2 linked regions of the Kluyveromyces lactis genome follow. The protein of the gene in region 1 binds, or shares a complex with, the protein of each later gene. Links are inferred from orthologs where the notes say so. Each region holds a gene or a part of one and is shown on either strand. Other genes may lie near its edges.

Region 1 (4,116 bases):
TCAATATCGACCTTATATTTCAAACCGCCAGGCATCTTTAGAAATGCGATTGTACCAGGCAACAGCAAAGTGTACTCAGATCTTATAGTAAAGCTTATAAGAGATGGCGATTCAATTGAAGAAATGTCATTATACAGTACAGATAACGATGGAAATATGAAGCGTAAGGATGGGAAAGTAGGGATATACGATCATCTCTTGGAGAGGGAAGCAACTTTGAAACGGAACAGAGCACTATGTTTACCAGATCCAAGACCTATTACCTACATACCGAAGGGGTTTTATCTCAGTCAAAACGATCATGTCATCCGAAAGAAACAGAAACCTGCAAGAGATTTTATCTTCGAAGGAAGTAACAGCGATGAGCTGGGAATCTACGACGTGCTATTGAAAAAATTCAGCAAGGACGAACAAATCAAGCAATTTCTTCATGCATTGCGGAATGGAAGTGTGATAACTGGCGAGGATGTATCAAGAAGGAAAACTCTTTTCGTAGAAGATTTCCCAATCTCGATTATATTATCTGTGTTCCGGGAAATTATAGATCAATGGCCTCTCACTGAATACAAGGAGAAATTTGAAAAACTAATGCAAATATACAATGGATTACAAGCTGATATTAATGAACTTCAGAAGAAAGTAGAGATCCAGGAGTTAGACTTCCAACACGAAGCGTTACCGGAAAAAACGTCAATATCATCTCTCATCGATAAAGAGGAGAAAGAAATACAGAAGCTCGAGAAACAGTTGGACCTTTTGGAAGGGAGAAATAAGTGAAATCTAGCAGCGGTACTAAAAATCCATTTGATACATTAATAAGTTATATCCAAGAAAAACCGATATGCTTGCCGAAATGAAGTGGAAAGATATATTTCACACTTCGGGAATTAATCTCGCACTGGAATGGAAATATTCATGTAAGTTTCAGTTCAGTATATATCATTTTTGTATTATTAAGGTTCTAATTTTATGATAACGAAATATATCGTAGTTCCATTTCTACGGCATCTTGCTCTTCTACAGAGAATACGGTTTTCGTTCTTTCATATGATTTTATTGCTGCAATGAAAGTTCTAATTTCAGAGTACAAAAAAGTAGATACATGGAAACAAAGAGTTGTTAGTTCCTATTACAACTTCAAATCTTAAAGAAACATATGTTGCGAGCAAAAGCCTCGATAAGAGTGTTAGTGGTGCCAGAACTATGAGTTCTAATACGGGAGACCAGTTTGCCAATCTGGGAAAGGCACTGTCTACCACGGCGTCTGTTCTATTCTCGTCGCAGCCGATGGAAGACACAATTCTTTCATACAGTAGTCCATATAAGAAATTGCTTCATGAGACAATTACTAATGCAGGTGGGGGATCATCACTAGTTAAAGTACGCCACGACGTGAAATTATCTAAAGGCAAGAATACAGGTTTCCAAGATATATATTCCAATAGCAAAGAGTTCTTTAAAAACTCTTATAGTGATCCAAAAACAACATTCAAAGTTTTAAGTTACTTGAGTGATGATCTACTTGAAGACGCCCCACGAGACACTATACCTCAGAACAAGAACATGATAACAGAAAATGGCGAGAAAAGATCTGCAAAGTCAAAAAAGCAAGAACCGACGTTATTTCAAGGATTTGAAGCATCTTTACCTGTTATTAATGAAACGATAGAACTACAGCAAAAACTTATAATGAATAGCGATATGAAACCCTTAACAGACTCTGAGTCCATCCCAGTTTACGCTGAAGAAGAAGAACAAGAGGAAGAGTTTAGTTTGCCAGACCATTTAAAAGCTGATAAACTTCTGCATTCTTACTCCGCATCCTTCTTGAAGGATGCCTCGAGGTCAATCACCGATAACCTGGATTTACTTGAAATCCAGAAAAATCTAGCAGCTAGCGAAATAAGAGAGCTAGATATCAAGCTGGAAAAGTTAAAAATGATGCGTGAACTAGTATTCAAGCGAGTGGCTAAAATTGAGCAGCATGAATTGTTTTTGGAGAAGCATTTGAACAACGTTAAGGATAGAATCGATATGATTATAGAGTACAACATGGATAAAGAATACTCATCGGAGGATGAAGAAAATATAAATGGATTATCTGAACTTTCGCCTAAAACTGGAGAAACTAACGAAACATATGAAACTGCGGCTACCACTCCTTTAGAAAACAAAGAAGAAGAGCACTCTCCATTGCTTTCCAAATCCATCTATCAGCAGCTACAAGACCACGAGAAGAAATCGGATATTTCCGAAAGGAAGAAACATAGTACTTCCAAAAAAATTAAAGATGTTGGTGTTTCTCACCGTAATCGCCGCCGTAAAACTTATCCAACTTTACAACAGTTCTATGATTCCGGATCTAAGATTACAAGCCTTCCTAAGGCCCATGATGAAGATATCACTTGCCTAGATTTTGATATGCCATTTGGTACTATGTGCTCTGCTGGCAGTCTAGATCACTCGGTAAAAGTATGGGATTTAAGTAAAAAAAAACAAATTGCTACATTGCATGGACACTTAGCATCTATCAGTTGCATGCAAATTGATCAATATAGCACCCTGATTACTGGTGGTCGGGACGCAGTTCTGAAATTGTGGGATATCGATAAGGCCATGGCTGATGAAGCGTCAAATTCATCTGAAGATAATGATGCATGTTTATATACCTTTGATTCTCATGTTGATGAAATCACCGCAATAAGTTTTGACGGTGACAATTTGGTTTCTGGTTCTCAGGATAGGACAGTACGTCAATGGGATCTGAATAGTGGTAAGTGCACCCAAACCATAGATATATCTTTCGCAACTGGCCCTATGCGGTCTCAAAGAAACATCCCTCTTCGTAATAGTGTACTTCTAACCAAGGAACCGCCGGCTATTGGAGCTTTACAATGCTTCGATGCTGCCTTGGCGACAGGTACTAAAGATGGTATCGTAAGGCTTTGGGATTTAAGATCCGGGAAAGTAGTACGTATGTTAGAAGGTCATACTGACGCCATCACCTCCCTTCAGTTCGACTCGGTCAATCTAGTTACAGGTGCAATGGACAGAAGTATAAGAATATGGGACTTAAGAACTGGTATACTTTCTGACGTATTTGCATATGAGCAACCGATCACTTCTCTACATTTCGATCTGGATAAGATTGTAATTTCAAACAATGAGCCTACTGTGAAAATTTACAACAGGAAAGACGGTAACCACTGGTTCTGCGGCGAAGATGATCCTGAACAAGGTAACGTGGATTTTGTTAGATACAAACACGGATATTTGGTAGAAGGGCGCTCGAATGGTGACATCAACACCTGGGCAATTTAGACCTACAAAATTGTTTCAGCTGAAATGAGAGTTATGACATTTGCCGTCATCTGGCACATTACTTCAAAAATAATAAATATTCTTCACTATTCCCCATAAATTAAATAGAAAAATAATTAGCATACAATGTAGGTGATCACTTGTATATAACTCACTAGTATAAAAAGACCATCCTCATAATACCTTGCTAGTTATTTTCGCGTGCAGTAGAATGTTTCTAGCTACAAGCCACTAACAAGACATGCTTCCAAGCCAAAAAAATCTAAGATTTAACAAAAAAGAAATGGTTGCGAAGAGATTCGAACTCTTGCATCTTACGATACCTGAGTGTTCCCAACTGTAAGGTTGGTTAAGATAGGTATCTTGAATCAGGCGCCTTAGACCGCTCGGCCACACAACCAATTTCGTGATTATTAGTTGAGAATGTCCACACTATAATGTAGATACCGTCTCATAAAGAGATTATATTAGAATAATCACTTGCAATATATGGCTTTACAACGGTATACAAATTATTCAAGATGTTAAAGACGTCCATGTTCATGCAAAACAGCATCTCGAAGTTGCTACGCGCATGTTTCAGCGTTCAACGACGTTTCAGAGAGGAAAAAAAAGCGTTAACCGCCGCCGTCACTAAATATACCGGTGCAACTCAAATATTATCTTCTGTAGAGACCGTCTTACTCTCTGTTGTTTCTATATAAAGTGGACCTGGTTGTCACCAATTACTAAGACGCACTCTAGTTTGGCCCTCTTTTTGTTTCGTTTGTTTTCCAATATTACTGTTGCCTGTTA
Region 2 (2,708 bases), on another chromosome or scaffold:
TGCCTTCGACAAAACAAGAGGAAAAAACAGACGTAGAACAGGGTGCTAGGTGTGTGAATTGCGGCAAACTGGACAGAATTAGACTCGGTTGTTGTTGTTTGTTACTATTTAATGGAAGACTACGTGATACCGCCAGTTAGTAAGGAGGAGAGACCATCATACTGATTTGGTAATCTGGAAATTTCCTATGGTCACGTGATACGATACCAATGCCTTTACCCAAGGCGAAGGCGAAGGCCACTAGAACTGTGGGGCAGTACTTGGTCCAATGGAAACAATTCTTCCTATGTATCCATCATTACTAGCAATTGTAACAGAAACATTTCACTTCTTCGTTGTTCTCACTTTTGTAACTACATTTCATCTTTTAATGTAAACTTTGTGATGCAATTCATGAATTGAAGATTCACAAGTTCGAATATATTTTGATCATTAGCAGATTATTTCATTAGATTGATAGGGACATACATATAACATTATTTACAAGCGAGTAATATGGGTGACAGGATATTCCCTGGAGATTATATTTCTATTCTTGAGAATGTAGTGGAGGAAAGAAATTTGTTAGCGCCTTCTGCCTCTGATAAGGAGGCCGATGGTGGTTGCGCCGATGGCGATTCCTGCACTGATCAAGGCAATCCCTTTTAATCCCTGAGAAGTGATCTTGTTTTCTACAGCGGTTTGTAGCATCAATGCTTGTTTGTTTTCAGGTTCATGATGCACTAGTGCATCCACGTACCGCTTTGCAGTAGAGTATTCGCCGAGTTTGTAACATCCGATGGTCAAATAGTATAAGCACTCTCTTCTTCTCATTGGAGATTCTTTGTATATGTCCGTCAATAACTTAACACCCAACATCTGATCTTCCTTATTCGTCGATCTGACGAGACCCCAGGCGTAATTGAAGCGTGATTGAATAGATGATATTTCGCCCCCTTCATTGAGCACCTGTTGCCTTAAAATTTCGATTTGATCGCTGTTTAATGCAGAATATGAATCCTCCAATTCAGGAAGGTAGTGGATGTTAGTCATACCGCAGTATTTTTTTGAGCTTGTGCGAGTGATTTCAAGATAAAGAAATAACTGCTACCTTCGATCGTTTCAGATGTTGTTAATGATATTGTTTCAAATTCAATGTCAAATTATCAGTTTTAACTTTTCAATTTATTTTTCTTACGTCCGCTAGACATCTCGAAAACGTTTTGATTATATACAAATATATACAGAAAGTCATCTCTGAGAATTGGTACAGAGGCATCGCAATAAGATCAGCAATTGAAGTTCCGTTCCAAATATCAACACTGATAATTGCGGTAATTTATCCGTTGGTTCATTTTTGTCCAGAAAACTTACACTAGAAACATGGAAGATACAACAAAATTGAATACTTCTAAGTTGGGAACTAAGGAATACTGGGACGATTTCTACTCATTAGAGAAACAAAACTTCGAGGAGAACCCTGAGGATACTGGAGAATGCTGGTTCGCTGATAACGATGCAGAGGAGAAAATGGTCGAATTTCTACTAGATAACTTGGGCGAATACAATATCAAAGAAGACAGCTCAATGATTGATCTCGGAACTGGAAATGGTCATCTTTTGTTCACTCTATTGGAGGAAGGTTTCAAAGGTGAAATGATCGGTGTAGATTACTCTGAAAAATCAGTCGAGTTTGCTGCTGAGATTCTCAAGACTAAATACAGCCAAAATGATAACGTAACTTTTGCTACGGCAGATATATTCAATGAACAATGGGCCCCAGGTAAATTCGATGTCGTTCTAGATAAAGGTACACTAGATGCCATCGCATTAAGCGGTATAAAATTTGAAAACAATGAAACCGTGGTAGATGTCTATCCGAAAGTGATAGAGAAGATATTAGGCGAAAACAGTATTCTGTTGATTACATCATGCAATTTTACAGAAGAGGAACTCATAAAGATTATTGAAACAGAGACGTTGAAAAAATGGAAATCGGTAAACTATCCAATATTTGAGTTCGGTGGTGTCAAAGGAACTACAATATGCAGCGTTGCCTTTCTCAAATCTTCTGCTAAATAATCTTAATTAAGGTATTATTCAAAAGGTTTTAAGTAGTGTCAATTTTACAAAGTCTGTTTGAATCAGAAGTAATATGTCCAATTCAATTCTCCAGGATATGAGCATTTACTTTCTCATATAACTCATCTGCTATTTCAGCTTTTCCTGTCCTTAAGGCATACTGGACAGGATTCTTGTTCTCATCAACTGCTAATATTCTGACGAACTTTTCTCCGTTCAGAGAACCTGGGAACCCTTTTTTAATAGAAAATCCTTTTACAAGCGGTAGATTCAATATTACTTTCAATAACCCACGGGATCTCATTACTATTCTCGACTTTTCTGAAACTTCATCTTTATTTAAATGTAGAACACCAATTCCTCTTTCCTTCCAACCATCCTTTATATCGGTAAGCTGATACAGCTTGGCATTTGTTTGGAAGATCGATTCTTCTGTCTCTTCGCCCGATTTGACGTCTTGTTTCGTTAATTTTACTGTTGGCTCTCTTGATTGGGCTGGAGTACTTTCCTTTTTTTCTGATTCGACTGTTTGCTTGTCTTTTGCAACACTATCTTTGGAGGCTACTTTTGCAGCTTTGAATCCAGCACCAAATGATAGACCAGATCCGAACGAGAAACCTGGTTCAACCTTGACGGTGTCCTTATTT

Evidence for each region.
Region 2: the proteins of KLLA0_F21406g (region 1) and FIS1 are in contact, whole or in part, in a crystal structure (PDB 3UUX), measured with the Saccharomyces cerevisiae proteins. The link is inferred for Kluyveromyces lactis from reciprocal best matches to the Saccharomyces cerevisiae genes MDV1 and FIS1. Residues at the interface, in NP_012423.1 of Saccharomyces cerevisiae: Asn95, Lys96, Phe99, Arg100, Leu102, Thr103, Tyr104, Ile105, Ser106, Asp108, Leu109, Asn111, Glu112, Ile113, Pro114, Glu145, Thr146, Ser147, Leu148, Phe149, Gln150, Gly151, Phe152, Lys153, Tyr155, Leu156, Ala159, Gln243, Ser246, Ser249; in NP_012199.3 of Saccharomyces cerevisiae: Val4, Asp5, Phe6, Pro8, Asp12, Glu15, Leu17, Gln21, Ile24, Leu25, Gln28, Ala37, Thr38, Ile39, Gln40, Ser41, Phe43, Asn44, Trp47, Lys51, Arg59, Val62, Lys63, Thr66, Tyr69, Lys70, Ala72, Glu73, Ser74, Arg75.

Annotation. Positions count from the first base shown.
Region 1 is NC_006042.1:1,995,465-1,999,580, reverse strand, and holds KLLA0_F21406g (WD repeat MDV1/CAF4 family protein), read left to right. Parts: upstream 1-1,203; coding exon 1,204-3,321; downstream 3,322-4,116. Other genes in the region: SPC34 (Spc34p), read left to right, coding at 1-777. UniProt on the Saccharomyces cerevisiae protein: Involved in mitochondrial fission. Has a partially redundant function to CAF4 in acting as an adapter protein, binding to FIS1 on the mitochondrial outer membrane and recruiting the dynamin-like GTPase DNM1 to form mitochondrial fission complexes.
Region 2 is NC_006039.1:696,724-699,431, forward strand, and holds FIS1 (Fis1p), read right to left. Parts: upstream 1,033-2,708; coding exon 565-1,032; downstream 1-564. Other genes in the region: EFM4 (Efm4p), read left to right, coding at 1,363-2,061; YRB2 (Yrb2p), read right to left, coding at 2,144-2,708. UniProt on the Saccharomyces cerevisiae protein: Has a role in mitochondrial fission. Has a role in outer membrane fission but not matrix separation. Required for targeting MDV1 to the mitochondria.